Styela clava: one gene and its partners. The protein of the gene in region 3 purifies or fractionates together with the protein of the main gene of each other region. This does not show direct contact. Links are inferred from orthologs where the notes say so. Each region holds a gene or a part of one and is shown on either strand. Other genes may lie near its edges. The genes, in order: dynamin-1-like protein, mitofusin-2-like and E3 ubiquitin-protein ligase MARCHF5-like.

Region 1 (7,585 bases), on a different chromosome or scaffold from region 3:
GAATATTAATTTTATTGTCCACATTTTGACCCAATTAAGAATACACATCAAGCTAGCAAAAGAATACTTGAATAAAACACTTGAGTAATTAAATTAAACGCAAAGTACATGAAGAAGGTGGCATTTTCGAAGAAAATGGGAGTTGTAACATTTCCGCTCTTCACAAAATTCTGAAGCACATTGTTTAATTTGTCATATTTCCGTCAATACAATCAAAAAACACAATAAGCTCAGCAGTCAATATGACAAATTCGAAGACCAACTTCGAACAGAAAATTTCCATGTGTTTGTATATTAATATAATTATACAACGACTTAGTTACTAAAAATCAATATCAATAATAATTCAAGCAATCCTATGCCACGCAATGTAGTGCGAAATGTCTTGTCGAAAAAATCTGTCATTTGTTTTTTTACTGATCTATACATGAAATGATAAAAGTAACTTTTCTGCATTACTGGAATTAATTGAACATTCGTAAAGATCCAGATAAAGCCATGATCATGTGGCCTCGTTAGTTAGAGTTGGTACTATAAAATCATTTCAGACTGGCCTTAGTATGCTGGTGACACAAAAAAGATGCCAAACGCCAGGACAAATGTAATTATTAAAACATTGAGTTTATACTGTAGTATTTTTGTTAATTTTAGGTTCATATATTTAAATTAAGTTATTTTTAGTGTATGTATTATTCTTTCCCTATTCAAAGCTTGTTCAAAAATGATTTTGATGGTTGTACATAGAATTTTACGATTTTTTATAATAAATACTGTAACTTGCAAATGTTGCAATAATAGTGGAATGCAAAGATTAATATGTAATTGCATTTGAAATTGAAGAAAATAATAAAACTTAATATAACTGTTTAGTTGCATCACAATATATGTCACAAACTAAAACTATCTTAAAAATATCTTTTAAGTATACATTATCAAAAACTGTTTGCGGCTCTTTTTACAATTTTCAAAATGCAATGCGGCTCTCGAAAACCCATGAGTTTGACACCACTGATCTATTCTAGACGATTCAAGCATTGCTTTGGGAAATTATATCACTTCAATTAAATTGAAATAATCTCGCTATATAAAATACAAAATCGTTGCTATCGTAAAGGTAAACCAATTCAGCCACTCGAAATATATTGGCCTTCACAAAGCAATGGAGGCAAAATTGAGAGTTCATGAGCTATGAACATTTGTTCTTTTCTTCGTCTTGAACTTTCCATACTCCGCAGCCCCTATTAATTTTTTTTTAATTTTAATTACCATGTGATGGTCATACATATCTTTAACTTGTATTTTCTGTCATGATGTATTATCTCAATGTGCCAAACTATTAATTAGTGTGCATATTTTGCTTCCAGATGACATAAATGTATTGTCATGTTTATTACCTCAGCTTGGAGTATTGACAAGAAAAAGGTGCCAGTAAATTAGGTAAAAAAATTTTCAACTCATTGTTATAATCAGAATTCACAATCAATAGAAATTATAAACAGCCAACAATCAGTGAGAATTATATGCGAAATCCCTCAGAGTAAATTTGTCTAAAATCGGAGGAAGGCAAAAAATATAGGTAGTTTCCATCCACACAAGCATTTCAAGAAGACTTGCTCGAGCCAAACTAAATGAGCATCGTCAGGTGATCGGTAAGGCTGCAAGTTGAATTCAGCCCTGCAACCTCCTGCATAGAAGATAATATTAATTAGTGGGCTATGAGCTAAATTCCTAAATTTAAACAAACCTATCTACGATGCATTATGTACCAGCAATGTTACCTACGATTAACTGAATATGTAATATGTCTAATAAATTCACCTACAAAAGCAAGTTCGATAGGTGCAAACTTTGTGTTATGGAATTGTATCGCAGCACAGTTTTGTATGACACCCTCTTTAAATGAAATTTCAATGATTAAGCGCAAACATTAAAATTACCAACTTTGAACTTTGTCATTATCTGCAAAATGTTCCACACAAATCTTTCCGCTATCGCGTTTGTAATCTTCTCTGATAAAAAAACGTCTATGATGTCCAGAATTGCTCTTTACAGCTTGCCTGTTACTCCAGCTTTCCAAGTAAGCAAAACTTCTTAGATATAGAGATTATTTTGTTTCGTTACAGGCGCAAAAAGGCAGGTACTACACGTAAAAACGACGCCGAGTAGCAAAAGCGAGCGAGAAAACGGACGCGAAAGGCGACGAGAAATATGTGCATTGGAGCGTATCATGAAATACAATGTTTTGCCTGTAGTCTTATGGAGTGACGTCAGAGTTGCCTATCATGTTGTTTAATGTCATTGAGTGGACTTATGACTCGTTGCGCTAAATTCTTCATATTGATGTTGTAGTGAAAAAAAATCGTTTTCTATGCAAATAATATTCTGATAAATTTCGGAACTTCAGTAGGCTACCAAATCAGGTATTTCGCCCAAAATTTTGCTATTTCCATCCACATGGAAAGACTTTGTTATAAAATGTTGTTTCCTTTCTTGTGCCACACTTGCCCGTCGATATTTTCTGAGGAACCATGACCACCATCTTTGAAAAAAAAAATTTTCAATTTTTTTTAATACAATTTTGCGGAATTTGCAGCTATTTGCGATTGTTCGCAGGCGGAAATTAATGCGGCCCACACGCTACCGCAAATGTGTATATTTGCCCCGCAGGTACATAATGTTTGCCGACCACTGCTCTATGCCAATCATGCGCCATCCCATCTTAACGTCAGACAGCTTTTCAAAAAACAGAAAGTGAGGAAAATTATCTGAACAAACTGAATTTTGCCAAGCTGCCCAACGAACAAGACGTAGTCTGACCAAAATTACAGAAATGTATTCTGAATGTTAACTGCTTTTGTATGTTTATTCGGTGTCCAGCTTTATTACCCTCGCGAAATTTTATAAAGATGTGGTAATTGTACTTTTTGCATACTTGAAAAAGATTGAAAAGGTACCGATTCACTTACCTTGGCTTTACCTTACCTTTTTATTTAAATGTGGTATGTTTTATTACCTCAAGTCCAGTTTTTGTTAGCGTAATCATTACGTCATTGTTGTGTAATTACACACTGAAATATTGAACAGTTAGTTCATCGTCATCGAAATGTTTTAAACCTGCGACTGATCTTGATAAAACACCTAACTTCTAGAACGATATTTATGTAGCTAAGATTTTGAGCCTAAAAAATCAGACCATTCCAGCATTTTGACTGTTGGAATTTATATGGACAGACAATAGTTATCTAAAAACGAATCTAGAGTTAAAACTTAGTCGTGTTTTGAAAGTCCGAGTGCTTCGCCGTTCCCCCCGATAAACATAAAAGCTAATTCAACGTTCGGGAGAGCACAGTTTTTCTCTGCTCCGAATTTTTGACAACCCCATAAACTAATATATACTAATTGCTGAGTAACACAATAAATGTATACACAAAAATGGAATTGGTCCGAACACAAATGCTGCAGAAAACTACGGTTGACCGTGTTTTTATAGCGTCTTTCAGAGTGGGGGCAGGATCAGTCGATAAATTTAAACGAGAGTCTAAAGTAAAAAGAGAAGATATACAGTTCATAAAATATCGAAATCGTAAAACTGCAAATTAAAACACAAAAAATGGCCAACGATTTTCCTGCTACCAAAAAATTTGGTTTGGTTAATTTTTCTCAGCGTAGCGTAGTCAAAATGACTTCCACGCTAAAAATTCTTTCTCCGATAAAATGCATAACGGCAAGTAAATGCAAAGTTATTTTGATGTAAAAGATAGATTTTCTATATTCTTGCATTTTAATATATATGGGAATTCAAAGTTTCCAAATAGATTTAAAGAAATGGGTAAACGAAAGTGTCATTGTACAACTCATATGCATTTTCTAAATATTTTGACTTGAGAAAATACCAAGAGTGCAAAAACATGATCTATATTAACATTTGTTTACATTTTATTGCGCCTCTTAATCATAATTGAAGTTTTAAATTGAGCCATGAAACAAGTTTGACAATCCCATCAATATACAAACCGGTCATGTTATAAAGTATTGCAGATTGAACAACATACATGTGATCATTTAGAATTAGTCCTTTCTGGGCAGAAGTTTCACTAGTGCAACATCCGGTAAATCACCCCAGGAAATCGGAGTGTCGAAAATTTTTAATAATTCATCATATATGACCTAAAAGTATTGCTTTCACCAAATATCAGATTTTTCCCACTGCCAAAAGATAAAGGGGCCCGGAGAGGGTTAAACACGAAGTATTCTCCATTTTTACTATGTTTGTGAATTTTTCTTTTTTCATTGCCAATATTATTTCATTCTCTTTTATAACTGACGAAGAATATAAAAAATACTATTTGAATTTTGGCCTTCTTTTACCAATTTAACATTTTCTTGTATAAAATCGGCCAGCAAGCAAAACTCCGACAAGTGCTGAAATCTCGCCCGTATGCTAAAGAACTACTAGCGCCACCACACGTCAGAAAAGCACAATAGTTTTTAAACCTGTAACCACAGAAGGTCCTCTTTGTTGGAATTTATAGATTTGGCTATGCAGTGCTGATACACGTAATAGTGTAATACTGTTATAGCTGTACATATAGTGTGCGTCTAAGAGCTTGTCTCTAGCAGTTTGAGAAATTTGACGGGAAGTAAAGCACTGAAGAATGGAAGCGTTAATTCCAGTTATCAACAAACTTCAAGATATTTTTAACACCATTGGCTCAGATTCAATACAATTGCCTCAAATAGTTGTGGTTGGATCCCAGGTAACTTGAATGATTTTTTATGAACGAGTCGGAATTGCACTTCATTCAGTCATTAGATAACCGGACCAAAAAATAGCATTTCACATGTTTACCGGTCATAGCCTACCTCCCAGGTCAGGCTTGGGCAAGTTCTGAAGTTGCTGCCCAAGTGATTTAGTAACGATGTACCTGTGTACCAGCTGCTTTCTGCAGTCAACTTTGTGAAAATGGTCAGCTCTTTTTCCAGATGATCACTGATCAATAGAGTTTTTGAAGCATGAATTTTTCTTGTATAATCTTGATAAGTTGCTCTTTGAATCTGTGAGTCGTGTGCTAACACAGCGGGATATCGTTAAACTAGTCAGCTCTTTGCTTTCCAGTATTTTGAATATAGTGAAAACGTTTGCCATTGAACCTCATATTGAAAAACTTGTAAAAACGCAGCAAAGAATACACTCATTTCATTAAAAGTAACATTTGTAATATGTCTTGTTTTATTTGAATGTGTAATAAAATACATTGAAGCGTGCAATGTAGGTTGGCTTCACTTAGTCTGGCACATTACCACATTTTGAATTTGCAATGTGACCCCATGGCAAAAATAATTGCCCATCGTTACCCCAAATGCATGCCAAACGTTAGCAGGTAAGTGATTCATATGCGAACTAAAATAATGCATATGGTTCGAAAGTCCTCTTGAATCTCTGAGTACTTTGTTGGGAAGCCCAAGTAATTGACTCGACCTGAGTCACTCTTTATCAAAGCCTCAAAGTGACTCAAGTCATCAAAATTAAATATCTCATACTCAACCAACTGTCACTGAGACTCGATACAGTGATTGAATAGACGAATAGACTTGGTACTCGGGTGACTCAAGACTCAAGTTGAGGGTCTTTTACCCAGCATTTGTTTACCCACCATTTTTAATAATGCAAAATTGGCATCGCACTTGTAAGCTTACCATTTGAACAGAATGTCATCTATGATTGTTTTGAAAGTGTCATATATCTTAGTGCCCAAAATGGATTAAATTATTCATCATCAATATTGTGTAACACATTTCAGAGTAGTGGAAAGAGTTCAGTTCTTGAGAATCTGGTTGGTCGAGATTTTTTACCAAGAGGAACTGGTATAGTTACAAGAAGACCTCTCGTGTTACAACTCGTGCACTTAGATAATGGAAAAAATAAAACGGAAGAAAATGATGACAATTCAGAAGAAGGTAAATAAAACAGTAAATCAGGTTCTGGTTTTCTACCAATCCTTCCTCCAAATGAGCCATATTTTAATTTTAGATTCTGATAAAGAAAATGAAAAACCAGGTTTGGAAAACCATGTAAATGGCTCATCTTCAAAGTTCAACCATGGCCATGAAGAGTGGGGAAAATTTTTGCATACAAAAGACAAAATGTATACAGACTTTGATGAAATTCGAACGGAAATCGAAAACGAAACTGAACGGATGGGTGGAACAAATAAAGCTATTTGCAGTGATCCAATTAATTTGAAAATTTTCAGTCCTCGTGTTCTGAATTTAACTCTGGTCGATCTCCCGGGAATCACGAAGGTTTTTTTTTTATTTTCTGTTAAAGATACATAAAAAACTCTAAAACATTGTTTTTTTGCTGAAAGATTCTGTATTTTTAGATGTTAAATACAAATATCAAGTAACAAGGAAAATTTAATTATGTATCAAATTTGTTGTTCAAGTAATACTAGTAGTTTAGTAGTTTCTAGTTTCATTAATCGAATGCAAATGTTTCAAAAATTGGTATCCAATACAAATGAAAAAATATGATAAATTCTTAATTTTAGGAGCAGCTTATACTATTTAGAAATTGTATTTTGAAAATTTTCTCTCAATGCTTTTGACACTGAAATCAGACAGAAAATTGAATTTTAAAATCATAATTTGTTCCCACAAAAGTTGATATTTTTTGAAAACTATAGGAGACAGGGTTCATTTATGGGCCAAGCTAGAAAAAATTGGATTGTAAAAGAAATAGCTCCATTATGCAAATCCCATTCGATCATTAAACATTGTATCAACGTAACCAATCATTGTAAACCTAATAAGTAACATTTATTGGTAATTTTGTATTTCATTAATCAATTTTGGTTTGGTAGTAATATACCGTAAGTTAATTTTGATACACATATTCAATGCATAATCATCTCTACTTCCTGTATCAGATTCCAGTTGGTGACCAACCTGAAGACATTGAAGCACAAGTGAGAGAATTGATATTACAATACATTTCAAATCCAAATTCAATAATTCTTGCTGTTTCTCCAGCAAACACGGATATAGCAACTTCAGAAGCCATAAAGGTATGTTTCAACAAATTTACCAGCAGTGATGTGAAATATGGGAAAATTTACACCCGAATCCATCTTTATCCTATATGAAGAAACGACTTCAGCTCCAGATTAAAGGAAATTTTTACTCGGACTCTTCAATTTCGGTCATACAGTAGCTACGGTACTCACATATCAGGATCTGCTGGCACAGAGCCATGTTTAGAGTGAAAAAACCTTGTATAGAAATAAGAAACTTCTACCTAGTTTGCCATGTATACTCATTACAATTTTGATATTATCGAATCTAGATGGCTCTTGAAGTTGATCCAGCAGGAAGAAGAACTCTTGCAGTTGTCACAAAACTAGATATAATGGATGCTGGTACTGATGCTATTGATGTTCTATGTGGAAGGGTCATCCCTGTCAAATTAGGAATTATAGGCAAGTGCAAAGCATGAGTATTTAGCTTAAAGATGGAAAAACATTATTAGATTATCATTTTACAATTTTTATAACAGGAGTTATAAATCGTAGTCAACTCGATATCA
Region 2 (7,525 bases), on a different chromosome or scaffold from region 3:
TTTTGATCACGTGCCATCGAACGTCGATGGTTCGTAACGAAGTCCTTACGGTACTTTGCTACGATTTTTTCCTTACGCTGTCTTACTACGTTACCAGTACTGTACCGTACAGTATTGCAATAATGTTGGTTTTCTTTTCTGCAGGGACGTTACCGTACCGCCTTAGCGAAAGTTGGAAGTCTTACTGTACTGCTTCGCTTGGTGTGAATATATTTTTAGACTTTATCTGACGGTACGGTAAACCGTACTGTACTGCGAACAGACGTGTTCATATATTTGGGTGTAGTTCTCTTGTTGTTATTATTTTCATTATTTGTCTCCATCATTTTTAAAAAAATCGCTTTTCTCTTCGAATACTGGACCAATGGCTTTGAAATTTGCAGTGGTTGAAGATAAAATTTTTCCCCAGAAGGCTATTACTTTTATTCATTTTAAATACTTCTGTTAGCTCTGTGAGCTTTGTTTTTGTTTGCTATGACGTCATTAAACGTTCTGCAGACATCGGACGCCATTTTGTGTCCTACTGTACTGCTTCGCTTGGTGTGAATATATTTTAGACTGTGATCTGACGGTACGGTAAGCCGTACTGTACTGCGAACAGACGTGTCCATATATTTGGGCGTAGCTCTCTTGTAATTTAATTTCAATAATAAAAAATTTGTGTAAAAATAGCTGTGATAGGCTAGGCTAAAATTCTTTGTAGTGATATTGCATATTTTATGTTGATTTGATTCAGTGCCTGAGTTCATGACCTTTCATGTAGTTTTTTTTTTATCTTTCTTTGGCCTACCCCTAGTGTATACAATGTATTTTGTTTTTTTGGTTCATGAAGGATACGATAGGATTTACATATTTATCCCGGGGGAGAGGAAAGCCGATAAGACGGCTTATCCATATGGCGAACCACGGCCTCTCGTCCGGTTACCATTCCAAGTCGGGTATGGGATTAGTTATAAGTAAACACAGTACTCTGAAATATCGAGTTTATTCTGGATAATATTCTACACTCCGGTATAGAAATCAAGGGTAGAAAAATTATTACATTCTTTACCGGTACTTTTAAAAAACATGTTGTTGTATGCGATGATTCATATTGATGGTTTGAAGCACACACCGGTACTTCATTTTACATGCGCCAACTCGCAAAAGCACTCTTAAAATAGTCCCGAAAATTTTACAATAGTAAAGCAATGACATTAAACAACATGATAGGCAACTCTGACGTCACTCCATAAGACTACAGGCGAAAGATTGTATTTCATGATACGCTCCAATGCACATATTTCTCGTCGACTTTCGCGTCCGTTTTCCGCTCGCTTTTGCTACTCGGCGTCTTTTTTACGTGTAGTACCTGTCTTTTTGCGTCTGTAACGAAACAAAATAATCTCTATATCTAAGAAGTTTTGCTCACTTGGAAAGCTGGAATGGCAGGCAAGCTGTAAAGAGCAATTCTGGACATCATAGACGTTTTTTTTTATCAGAGAAGATTACAAACGCGATAGCGGAAAGATTTGTGTGGAACATTTTGCAGATAATGACACAAAGTTCAAAGTTAGTAATTTTAATGTTTGCGCTTAATCATTGAAGTTTCATTTAAAGAGGGTGTCATACAAAACTGTGCTGTGATACAATTCCATAACACAAAGTTTGCACCTATCGAACTTGCTTTTGTAGGTGAATTTATTAGACATATTACATATTCAGTTAATCGTAGGTAACATTGCTGGTACATAATGCATCGTAGATAGGTTTGTTTAAATTTAGGAATTTAGCTCATAGCCCACTAATTAATATTATTTTCTATGCGGTAGGTTGCAGGGCTGAATTCAACTTGCAGCCTTACCGACCACCTGACGATGCTCATTTAGTTTGGCTCGAGCAAGTCTTCTTGAAATGCTTGTGTGGATGGAAACTACCTATATTATTTGCCTTCCTCCGATTTTAGACAAATTTATTATGAGTGATTTTGCATATAATTCTCATTGATGGTTGGCTGTTTATAATTCCTATTGATTGTGAATTCTGATTATACCAAAGAGTTAAAAATTTTTTTATCTAATTTACTGGTACCTTTTCTTGTCAATACTCCAAGTTGAGGTAATAAACAAGACAATACATTTATGTCATCTGGAAGCAAAATATGCACACTAATTAATAGTTTGGCACATTGAGATAATACATCATGACAGAAAATACAAGTTAAAGATAGGTATGACCATCACATGGTAATTAAAATTAAAAAAAATTAATAGGGGCTGTGGAGTATGAAAAGTTCAAGACAAAGAAAAGAACAAATGTTCATAGCTCATGAACTCTCAATTTTGCCTCCATTGCTTTGTGAAGGCCAATATATTTCGAGTGGCTGAATTGGTTTGCTAGCAACGATTTTGTATTTAATATAGCGAGATGATTTTATAGTACCAACTCTAACTAACGAGGCCACATGATCATGGGTTAATCTGGATCTTTGCGAATGTTTAATTAATTCCAGTAATGCAAAAAAGTTACTTTTATCATTTCATGTATAGATCAGTAAAAAAACAAATGACAGATTTTTTCGACAAGACATTTCGCACCACATTGCGTGGCATAGGATTGCTTGAATTATTATTGATATTGATTTTTAGTAACTAAGTCGTTGTATAAATATATTAATATACAAACACATGGAAATTTTCTGTTCGAAGTTGGTCTTCGAATTTGTCATATTGACTGCTGAGCTTATTGTGTTTTTTCATTTTATTGATGGAAATATGACAAATTAAACAATGTGCTTCAGAATTTTGCGAAAAGCAGAAAAGTTACAACTCCCATTTTCTTCGAAAATGCCACCTTCTTCATGTACTTTGCGTTTAATTTGATCACTCAAGTGTTTATTCAAGTATTCTTTTGCAAGCTTGATGTGTATTCTTAATTGGGTCAAAATGTGGACAAAAAAAAATCATATTCCAAAACTACTTTCAGTAAATTGTTTTCTGTGTGAATAATCAATTTCACTTTAAAAGGTTTGAAAAATCTATTACATTTAGATAAAAAAAAAAATACTATTACAATTATTGTTAAGCGTTCGAGGGCCGCACTCGAAGTTCTCTGGGGCCGCGAGTTTGAGATCTCTGGTCTAGATTGAAGTTGTCCAAAAATATATATGATAGTATTTTATCATGAATGATGATTATACCCCTTCCGGAATTTCTTCTATCGTACTACCAAAAGTTGATGAACCAAATATAACACAGGTGCAGTGAGTTACCCGTAATCCTCATTTTCCAAAGCTGTTTTAAGTGTCTGGCGTGTTTTGTGCCTTTTTACAAATAAGACCGAGTATGTAATTTTACGCTTTGCAATTTTTAGTTATTTTCCTCAAGCCCTGCAGGATGTAGGGGTCATACACAACTTTACCGGAGGGTCAAGTGTCTTTGCATGTCACTGATATGTCGCCAGACTTCTGATATCTCCCCTTCTGCTATAGTTGTCCTGTGAATAAATAATAGGAAATTGTGATTAGACGAATAGTTGAAAGTTTTGCTTTATGTCGGCTTAATTTCTTGATTGATATACTTACTATTTCTGCTATTGCCTCTTGTGCTGCAGGAGTCTCACAATGCTTAGACAGGTTTGTCCACAACTTTCACATCTGAAGAAAGAGAGGAGATTTATTAATTTTCGTTAAGAATAAATAAAGCAGTCTATATGATTTAGAATGGAAAAGCTAATGAATCCAATATCTCATGTTTTATGTAAAAAATATTTTACTGAATTTGGTCAATAAAACAAACTAATAAAAGGGTTTAGTCAGAAAATTACAAGCATTCGTGGCTCCAAATATTTGAGAGATCAGACTATACAATATAGACCGGTATGAGTGAAATGTTAGGTGGACTTGTTAACACTTTGATTCAATACGCAAATAAAAGTGAATGCGCAATAGTATGTTACAATGAGCAGCAATCAACAATGAGTATATATCCTCACTGATTAAAAAAATCAAACTGGAGGTGCATGAACTATTTGAAACCATAAGGGGTAAGTAAATATGTAATTTCGGCAAATGGGCAACCACGTACCGTACTGAATTAATAACTTCGTAGTATTTGACAAAGGCTGACTTTCCCACATGTACTTAACAGTGCGATGCCCGGGTGTGATATACAACAATAGTATTTACCTTACCTTTTTCCGATTTCTTTTTACCTTAACTTTCCAAAATATCATTAAAATCGACAACAACTGTCAAAGCAGGCACGAACACCATTCGTGCTACGCCTTGAAAGCAGCACACATCCGCTCGTTTTCGTCTCGTCAAGTATGTGCATTGGAGCGTGCTATCGAATACGATCTTCGGACAAAAATGCCGGAGTTGCGCATCATGTTGTTTAATGTCATTGAGTAAAGTATAGGAAGATTTTTTCGGGGTCAAAGGTCGGGGAATAGGACTCTTGAAATACTCAGATTAACCAAAACAGCATTAGCATGCTTCAGCTTTCATGGATTTCATAGCCGCTTGTGTTTTGTGACTGTTTTAGCCTATATATCTGTATATAGGCCATTGTTGTAGCATTTAAATTTGAAATCACCAAAATCAGTTGCTTATTGAGGCATTATGTTGAAGTCTGGGTTTGGCGGCGGAGGTGATGCGTCTTCACCATTAAAATTATTCACTAATGCCAAGAAGAAAATAAATGGGATTTATCGAGACATAGGAAATTATGTCAGTGAATTCCATACTTTTGTAGAAGAAATTAAGGATGTTGAAGAGAATGAACTTGTGCATCAGGTAAGTTTTCCAACTGGTTCTTATATTGAGTACATACCGGTACAGACATAGGTTTAGTTAACTCAGTTTACGATCATCTCAGTCCTTTGAAATATCCCCACCAAGAGCATAGAGACGAACACTGAACATGGTTTGAAGTATATTACCCTGACTGCATTCCTAGATGCATCTCATTAGCCCTCTTACAATCTTATTGCTTTTAATTTAGTTTTTGCGATTTTTCACAGGAATTGGTAGATCATATTCAAACATGCGCTCAAAAAGTAAATGGAATAAAAGAGATGTTACTCCGAGATCATATGAAGGTATTTATTCAAGGATAAATTATGTGATTTGTCTAACATTATCTATTCTCATGAAGCTGTGAAATGAAACAACAAGATATTATACATATTCATACTCTTGTATGTCATATCATAACTTCAATTATAAGTCAATTACTGTTCTCATTCCAAGCATGGTTGCTAATTTTTGTGTAAAAGGTAAAAGCCTGACTTTTTTGTATATTTTATTTAAATATAATTATAGGTGGTTTTCTTCGGAAGAACTAGCAATGGAAAAAGCACTGTAATAAATGCTATGCTGTGGGATAAAATATTGCCGAGTGGACTTGGTCATACGACCAATTGCTTCTTATCAATAGAAGGATGTGATGACAAAGATGGACCATATTTACTTTGTGATGGATCAGAGGAGAAGCGTAATGTTAAAAGCGTATCACAATTAGGACATGCACTCAGTCAGGAAAGCATGTCTAATGACAGTTTGATTAAGGTTTGTTTATGATTTATGAAATTAAATATTTCTGTTTTTATCAAACGTCCTTCTAATGTTATACTTCCTACTATATCGCTGTTATTTATTTCATATTCCAGGTATGCTGGCCCAAAAATAAATGTTCGTTATTGAAAAATGAAGTTGTTTTGGTTGACAGTCCTGGTATTGACGTAACTGAAGATATGGATAGTTGGATCGATGCGTAAGCAATTTTTCCATTGTATTGTGTACTAAACATTAATTAATTAAACACAATCTGTAAACTTGTGAATTAGTTATTATCCAAAGACACAGTATCTTTACTCATCTTTTCTATTTTTTTCCTGATGACTCTTCTACAACAAATGCAATGCAATTCATTTTACAGTTGTAAATGTTATGTAGTCAGTGATATTGATACTTTTTTTAATGTCTGAAATGTCCTACTTAACATTTTTCTTATAGTTACTGCCTTGATGCAGATGTTTTCATTCTTGTTGCAAATGCTGAATCAACTTTGATGTTGGCTGAGAAAAAATTCTTTCATAAAGTAAACGAACGTCTATCGAAGCCTAATATATTTATACTCAACAATAGATGGGATGCATCAGCTGCTGAACCTGACCTTATGGAACAGGTAGGACTTGATCGAAGTTATATTAGTTTTCCATCTTGTTTACGGTTCAGGTAACATTTGATATGTTCAAAATTATCTATAATTTGAGCTTCTATTTTGAGCTGAGCAATTCGGAATGTCTGTAAATATGTCAAACACCTAATTCATCAGAGTAAATGTAGTATTCACTATTTCATTCATAACCTCATATTTGTGATCTAGTGATTTGTGTAGTTGCAAAAGGTTAAAAATCTCAGATTCAACCTCCATCACTGATACCTCACCAAGGATTTATTAAATTAGGTAGGCAAGACCAACTGAAAAGATTCTAGCCCCAAAAGTAGTAGCTACTTATTTTTTATCATCTAATTCTTTCTAAAGCCTTTTTTGAGGTGAAGGTGTGAAAACAGCAAAATAGTTAGTAGCCTATATTTGTAAGTGTGTACATAATTATCATGTGTAACAAGCTTTCTGCTCTATGGGTGACAAAATGCTAATTTAACACTTTTTTCCACGGCCATAGGGATTCAAAAACCCAGGAGTGATATGAATTGTTTTGAAAAGCATAGATTTTAAATAAATTCTGTCTATGATTTATTCCATCTTATGAATGCTTGGAAAACTGATTTGAAAAAGATTCTCCACCTTGCCCTACCTGACCAGAAATGATATGTTGAATATTTATTAAAAACATGATGACAACTATTCTGTTTATATAAGTCATATTTTACCTCACTTCTGAACAATTCTCTGTACTAGCAGTCACTTATGCAAAAGTATATTGCTTTTTGAAAGGACAGGGGTCTTTCTTGTTTGTCTTTGCCTACACCCAATTTGAAGCAGTGCATAACCTGTAATGACAATATTGTTTAATCTGATGCTCTAACCATGGGCAATTACACTTCCCTAATATGGACAAAAAATGTCATAGGAATTGATAGGCGTAAAATTTGAAATCAGCAATTTAGAAAGATGTTAATTCTGAAGTTTGTATGCAATTTATATAGGTGAGACAACAACATCTGGAACGTGGAATATCATTTTTGGCAAAAGAACTAGGTGTTGTTACCCCACAGCAAGCTAAAGATAGAGTTTTCTTTATTTCTGCAAAAGAAGCCCTTAATGCTAGATTGCAACGCTTACAAGGTTTTTAATTTTTTCTATGTAATATAGGATGATGTTTAAATGAATCATACATGATATGTCAGAATTGAGCATAATTTCATTTAATAAAGCATAGCTATGTATGTCTGATGATTCTGTTAAAATTTGATGCTGTAATTTTATTAGACCCACTATAATGAGATTTTCATTGCAGGGTCCCATCGAAATCATTAAAATGTTTCAAGTAAATTTGCCAATAAACAATCTGGCAAAAT
Region 3 (7,414 bases):
GCTTTCCGAAAATAGTTGCAACGGTTGGAAAGATCAAAGCTCCACAAAGAACTCTCGTAAACTTGATTTCTCTTGTCTGTCGCATTTCTACTGGAGATGGAGGAAGTATGGTTGAAGTTCCTTCTTGTGAAGGGCGTGTCCCAAAAATCAGCTTTTTCAAGTAAACCAACTTGCTAGAGTGTTTCTTCCATAACCTCAAAAGATAATCGTCCCATTGTATCATTTTTCCAAGGACAAGACCGACTGGTATCATAGGAAGGCCGACAAGTAAAAATAAAGGATCTGCTCGCTCCATCATATCTAACCCTTCTTTGTGGCCCAAAACTTGCATTACTGTGATTGCTCCATAAGTGACCGCACTCCAATATATTGATCCAAGAAGAACTCCGGTTGCCGCAATGGGTGAAGCTTTAAACACAATGTGATCAATCGTTTGAATAAAACTCGTCAATTTTCCAAAAGGTGGAAAAACAACAACATATTCAGTGTTGCATTGTGGACATTTTACTTTAGTAAAAGAATGGCCTTTCTGCTTTTCATCTATCCATCTCATCAAACAAGCATGATGGACCCACATTGTCGTACCTTTGCAACGACAAGGCTTCACCCATTTCATATGTTCATCGTCATCTGTTCCAAAACATACCCAACAACTTCTATATGTTGAGCTTTGAGGATCCTCACTTGTGCCAGTCCCAACAGAAGTTGAGGAATCATTAGCTTCCTCCATCATATATGTACCTGATAATTATGCAGATATGGTCATTAGACTATGAATAGATAGGTGATCCCTAAGCTAGGGAATTAGAATCAAATTTTCAAGGCTAATAGCGTTATTACTTACCGATCTTAAGATCGGTAAGTATGTTGATAGGTATTTGTCTGTTTGTTTGTCTGTCTCTCTGTTAGATGCCCGCGATATCTCACAAAAGCGAGGTTGAATCAGCTCCAAATTTTGCGTGTGTATCATCATAGCTCGGATCAGAAGCCTATTGATTTTCGATGAATTATGTCGTATAATTAGCTAGTTATTAATTAATTAGTGATGGGACACATGGTGTCACTATGGAGTAAGAGCGCTGTTTTGGGGCATCCCCTAACCTTCAATCGATAAGTCTTCGGTCTCTGACCGATATTCTCGTTTAAGCAGTTAAGGCATTCATCCTGCTATACCAGTATACTACCCACAAGACAGACTGTTACTTAAAAAAAATAAAACTATGGGCTCTATTTTCATATCACATTTTTGTTTGCCATTATTCAAGTAGTTATGGCATTCACTATATTATGATTATTCAATAAATGTTATGAACTATGGGGTACAGGCAGGGCTGTATTTAGACAGCAAGAGGCCACTAAGCTAGGCCTATTTCATTTGTAATGTCCCTTCAACAATGACGTCACAACGTTTCACAGAATCAATTATACGAAATTTTATTTACAGGCAATATACATTCGCTAATAACCCGAATAGATTGGATAGTAAGTTAAATTTAAGAACTTCTTCAAAAACCCAAGGCTGTAATAAAATCATGGCATTGGATAGGGTTCATAACAACCATTTACGGTCGCGGAAAAGTGAGGGAGGGGCCATGGCCCCAGGTAGGCCTACTTATAAATAAAATATTACTAATAAAAAAGTTATTCGTAATAAACGGGTCTTTGTTAAAAAACTATCCGAAAATCATAAAATAATTAAATAATTCTTAGATTAAATATTGCTTAGATGAATGAGTATAGCTATATATCGATTTGTATCATCTTTTTCAATAAATAGAGGGAATTATTATGGTAAAAAACTGTTCATTTATTTCGAAGTAGTATATTTGTTTAGTTGAAGGGGTGAAGTTGGAAATTTGGAACAATCCATTCATTCGATCGTATTTAATTGTTAATTTTGTAAACAGAATATATTTGCGACAAGCATTAAGCCAAATAAAAAATTCAATGAATGTCAATTTAAAAAAATTTTTGAATCAGTAAAAGCCTTAAAATTTAAAAACGACTTAAAATGAATAACAGTTCAAAATTGGATGTCGAGGCCCCTAGGCTACCATGCCTGGCAAATCCGTACACCACAATTGTAGCCTTCTACAAAAATTGCAAGCTATGTTCACAACCAGCTGCTGCATTCTGCGTCAATCATCGTTGATTCATTAATTATTAAAAGGTAAGATAAATCGCAGAATTTTGGTAGTGTTTCCCAATTCTAATTCAGATCCCTTGGCACTGGTCCTTTGCATAATCGCACATTTCGTTCGATAACCTGGTACAGTGGTACTGTAGGTACCGTACCGGTACTCGCCATATTATTTTAATAAGGCACTGCGTTTGATGAATTTGCGCCGAAAGTGCAGCACCAACATTTTTCTGAACCACCTAATTCATGCCTTTTTACAGTCAGACAGTTCAGCAGTTGTAGGCTTGTAACCTACTGGCAGACTGGTCCAAACTTCCAGCTGCTTTCAAAATATTTTTTTTGCACCACCCCATAGCCATACTGCCATAAGCAGATACCGGTATGAGTGGTTTCAAAATATTAAATATCAGTTCAAATGCTGAAGTATCAGATAATATCAGTCAGTCCATTCTACCAGTATACCGTACTGCAGCTACAATCTGACCATAGCCAGCCAAAATTTACTCCAACGTTCACCGGTACCACAAACCAGTACGGTACGGGTACCGGTAAACTGTGATAGGAAAAAGCAGAACCGTAGACTACTGCACTGGGCTACTGGGCTAAGGCCAGTTTCAGAGTTTGCGAATAGATAGGCTACCTGGATAGGTATACAGTACTGAGATGTTCGGACAAAAATCTGCCCCATTACCGGTACCGGTACCGGTAACAGATTAAAGTCGTTAGATTTCCAACCCTCACTACTTACAGACTTGGCGTATTTTGTATATTTTTCCATCGTTGCAATGTTCGTTTCCTGATAAGACAAAATAATAATTCTTTCTCTCTCTCTGCATTTTATATGTATGTCTTTCGTTAATGATAAATCACTTATTATTTAACAGTAACTCAAAATGAGGTATAAAATAAGTTATAGTCTTATTTAAAAATAATTAAAAATTATTCAAATAAATATAAAATTACCCAGAATTTGTTTTCGTGTATAGCATACATAAGTTAAAAATAGTAAACGATTTATTGCCAAGGCAAGCTTGCTTTGGATAGCAACAATAAACGTTGGCCTTATCAATGACAGTCATTGGCCTTATACAGCTAGCCTATAGCTTAAACGGGTGTCAAAGCGTCCTTCGGTTTCGGTCGTGTTTGGCCTTTGGATTCATCAGATTTGACAAATTTGAATGTTTTTTAGTAGATTTGATTAAATTCTACAATTAGTTTAATTGATGGTGAACAATTTCGATAGTCTGGTACCGCAACTCAAACAACTGCGCAATGTCAGCTGAAGTTGAAGAAACGGCTCCCCAGCAGCAACAACATGAAAATACGTATCTAATCAGGCCGAATTTCCAACACAAGTAAGTATTGAAGTAAGGCTTTGCAGCTCATTAAATTCTTGTAAAGAGAGATTGATTTATTTTACTTTTTGCTACAAAGATTTAAACCAGCTGAAGTGAAAGAAATTATTCATGAAGTTGTTAAAGAAGAACTTGATGGTAAAGATTATGATGGAGAACAAGTAGCGGAATGGGTACAAAATATTGGTAATAATACAAAAGCCAAGTTAAAAGGTAATGCTATAATATGGATATTTGATAATGATTTCCTCTCCCCAGAATAAATACCGGTATGTAACTAAATCCTATCCCATCCTTTTTCTGACTGTCTGAAGGAACCGTTCAACATTATATAAAATTACTATGGTATAGGATGGAATTTACATAATTATCCCAGGGGAGAGGGAAGACAATAAGATGGCTTAATCATATAGCAAACCACGGCTTCTCATCCGATTGCCAATCCATGTCGAGAGTGGGATTAGTTATCCAGGTATTTTTTTTCAGATGAATGGACTTGATGGTGGGGGAAGTCGTAACTGACAAGTGGTACATGAACCACCCTACAGTGACAAGTAGTACAGCAATCCTCTCACACATAAATAACCTTCACAGGGTAATCAGAGATGCTGTGGCCAATGATGATGCTTCGTACAAGTACAGTTATGACTAAACTATAGAATGGCTATATTCCTATTTCCTTGCTTAGTAGAAAATTTGATTTATTTTATGTTATTTCTTTTTATTTATTATCATTTCCATCTGACACATGAGTGGGGTTTGAACCTGTGTCTACAAGTGACAAGTCCGAACAAACCAGTATATCAAAGTTTTTCTGAAATATTCTAATCCCATAGCAAGAAAATCTCTAATAGTTGACGTACCAATTAATCTTGCTATCTCATGGAATGGTCGCAGAATTTTTAGTTTTCAACACTTTATATTTCCATTCAGCAATGGGGTATGACAGATACAAATTTGTGGTGCAAGTTGTTATTGGCGAACAGCGAGGTGAAGGAGTTAAAATGGGATGCAGATGTTTTTGGGATTCAGATACAGACAATTACGCACAAGATATATTTATGAATGTAAGTACTGAAATTGATTATCTTTGGTTTAGTCTTTGGTGAGACTAGTTGTTTTGCACGAGTGACCATTTTTACTCAAATTGTGCAGTTTCAATAATATATGAACCACACATAGTAAACGTCCAAATTTTTTGGTTACGACAATTAGAATAAATTTATTTAAAAGTATTACAATTTTTAAAACAATCATGTTGTTTTCCAGAAATCCATGTTTTGTGTCGTCGCAGCATTCGGGATATTCTTCTACTGAAACACAATTTTCATTCAATATTATGACCCATCGTAGTTACCTTTATGTGCACTTTTCTGTCATGACTAGTCCTGGGGATTATTTACCTTTTGGCTAAATAGGATGAAAATACAAAGCAGGAAAGTTATGATGCGTATATAGATCCAAACACTTTGTTCACCAAAATTATGCTCACAGCGCAGACCTACAGCCTATATTTTGAAGAGCGTATTTAGACCCAAGTGGGTAGGTCCACTTTATATGTTTCCACCATGAAAAACTGTCTTCAAAAGTGTAGTAAACAGAAATCCAGTTAATCAAGGACCCCTGGTCATGACAGAGAACCCCCTTTGTGTATCGATTCCTGTCTATATAAATATATATTTTCTAAATAAAAAACGAGGCTTTTGAAAGCATTTGTTTTATTTGAAACTTTATAAAAATCAGAAAACGAGAGATATTAATGTAGAGAAATTAAGGGTGTGTTGTATGAAATAGAGACGCAAAGGAAGCAATTGCAACATATAGAAAGAAAAGTACATGATTTGAATTGAAAGGAAGTGAAAAATAAAAACAAATTGGCCCTTTTCTGTGAATTGCCTCTGGATTGAATCCAGTTTGTCAATGATAAAGAAAAGTGGTTTGAACAAAGAAGACACCATTATTACCACAAAATCATATACAGAAATGTGCAGGAACATGACAGAGGTTAGTCAGAACATTCATTCACAAAGGCTAAATCTCCGACAACATGGACCACCTCCTCACAAAATCTCACCAAAAAGTTGGATACATTCTGTTACATTTTTAACTACCTTGATCAGGTGTAGAATTTTCTGCTGTTGTTGGATGATTTGAAGAGCCGCAATCATTTGTCTTTACCACATCTGTACTTGTCTTGGTTTTGTCTTCGAAACTTTTTGTACAATTTGAATGGGATTCGCTTTCAGCTTCTGAATTGTTACTATCACACATACCAGCATCACAAGATTCATGGGTGCTGACTTCACAAGAATCTTTGGTCTTTTCGTTGACATCAACGCTTGCGACTTCAGCGGAATTCTCATAATTTCGTGGTTCTATTGTGTGCAGTCTTTCAATTTGTGCTTTTTCAGATATCGGTAAAACCACATTCACTTCTTCTGGTGAAACTTCAGTACTTTCATCCACAGTTTTTAGCTCTAAACTTCCATTTGATTCTTGTTTATCAATAGGAGAAATATCTTTGAAGATATCCACTCGAACAAGTTCAGCACCAGTCGATTTGCTCACCTCAGAGTCTAATGCGATGAGTTCAACAACTTCACTTGATAAACTTGGTTTTACCATCTTTTTGAATAATTTGTTTTGCATCTGGATGAAAAAAAAACGATTAATAAATTCACCGAGCAAACAAGTTTGCATGAGAGAGAGAGATTTATTGATTCGTCGACCAAAACAAATATAAATATGAAAGCATAAATACAAATAAATAAACACTGTTTATGGTAGAGACTGGAGGGAGCGATACGACCATACGGTCATCCAAGTCAGCTCCCCCCAGGTAATGGATGACTATGTGTGTAACAGCTAATTATAGAGTAATATACACTTAAATAATTGTAAAAAGCACAATTACAAGGGGCTAATGATTTAAGTTAGTTATCACGCTCATATGATCATTGATCCATGCATATTAATTACTAGGGGTCTGGAGAATTACTAATATGGTGAACAAATTGTGGTAGTTATACCCAATGAGCGTATTTGGATAATTATTATGGTAAATGAAAAGGAATATAAGTGAAAAAAATTAAAATATTGGATTTACGAAGATAGGATTAACTTTGGTTTATGAGAAACAATTGAAACACAATGTAAATATGAAGATCAATTTCAATGACTACTGAAAGGGATTTTTCAAAGTACAAGAAGGGGGTTTGTAATCAAATATCTAAATAACTAATATCATTAATTAACAAAGGATGAAAAATAGAACTCTGAAACCAAATCGGGGTCTGTAGAGATCTAAGTTCTAGTGTCTACAGGGGGTGTACTGAGGAACGGTTGTACCCATTTAAAACATTTTCATCAAACAACAAAAATCTCAAAAGGTAATTGAATATATCAAATATAATAACAACTTCGAGCAATATTGAATTTTTGAATAGTTCCAATACCTATAGCAGTGCTATTGATAGGAAGTGGACCTAATGTATTTGTGGTAATTAGCCAAAATATAGTAAAAATTTTACAATCAGGGATGTAGAGGGATGAATATTTGAACTCAAACTTCACTTACTATATTGTGAATAGAATACTAATTTGAGTTTCAAAATTATCTATTAATTCGAAGGTTACAAAGAATTGCGCTTTACTTAATAAAAAAAAAAATGGATAGGATTCAATATAATGCTAATCACAGCCACTTTCTGAAAAAACTATTTCGGAGTATGCAAGTTCAAAGTTGGGTCATACACGAAAAGAGGATTATATATATGTAATCGAATATTACAACATTATATAGAATATCCACATAACTGATTTGGTTGATTATATTTTTGCAATATTAGACCAGCGGAATTAATCAGCTGACAACTTTTGAGTTGTTGCATCAATATTCCGCCAAGAATAAACTACATCA

Evidence for each region.
Region 1: the proteins of E3 ubiquitin-protein ligase MARCHF5-like (region 3) and dynamin-1-like protein purify together in Homo sapiens (affinity purification with western blotting, with the first as the bait; 3 studies listed by BioGRID). This does not show direct contact. The link is inferred for Styela clava from reciprocal best matches to the Homo sapiens genes MARCHF5 and DNM1L.
Region 2: the proteins of E3 ubiquitin-protein ligase MARCHF5-like (region 3) and mitofusin-2-like purify together in Homo sapiens (affinity purification with mass spectrometry; 5 studies listed by BioGRID and IntAct, counting the BioPlex papers as one, with this or other methods). This does not show direct contact. The link is inferred for Styela clava from reciprocal best matches to the Homo sapiens genes MARCHF5 and MFN2.

Annotation. Positions count from the first base shown.
Region 1 is NC_135258.1:11,927,067-11,934,651, reverse strand, and holds the start of dynamin-1-like protein, read left to right. Parts: upstream 1-4,483; 5' UTR 4,484-4,655; coding exon 4,656-4,757; intron 4,758-5,801; coding exon 5,802-5,958; intron 5,959-6,031; coding exon 6,032-6,303; intron 6,304-6,929; coding exon 6,930-7,067; intron 7,068-7,345; coding exon 7,346-7,478; intron 7,479-7,555; coding exon 7,556-7,585. UniProt on the Homo sapiens protein: Functions in mitochondrial and peroxisomal division.
Region 2 is NC_135255.1:2,491,082-2,498,606, reverse strand, and holds the start of mitofusin-2-like, read left to right. Parts: upstream 1-4,428; 5' UTR 4,429-4,600; coding exon 4,601-4,774; intron 4,775-5,001; coding exon 5,002-5,079; intron 5,080-5,302; coding exon 5,303-5,548; intron 5,549-5,649; coding exon 5,650-5,753; intron 5,754-5,995; coding exon 5,996-6,167; intron 6,168-7,153; coding exon 7,154-7,292; intron 7,293-7,525. UniProt on the Homo sapiens protein: Mitochondrial outer membrane GTPase that mediates mitochondrial clustering and fusion. Mitochondria are highly dynamic organelles, and their morphology is determined by the equilibrium between mitochondrial fusion and fission events.
Region 3 is NC_135256.1:15,199,958-15,207,371, forward strand, and holds the start of E3 ubiquitin-protein ligase MARCHF5-like, read right to left. Parts: upstream 3,018-7,414; 5' UTR 2,977-3,017; coding exon 2,889-2,976; intron 2,831-2,888; exon of another isoform or gene 2,781-2,830; intron 742-2,780; coding exon 1-741. Other genes in the region: dynein light chain Tctex-type protein 2B-like, read left to right, coding at 3,413-3,495, 3,575-3,708, 4,429-4,562, 4,765-4,812; uncharacterized protein LOC120328307, read right to left, coding at 5,599-6,144. UniProt on the Homo sapiens protein: Mitochondrial E3 ubiquitin-protein ligase that plays a crucial role in the control of mitochondrial morphology by acting as a positive regulator of mitochondrial fission and as an important regulator of immune response.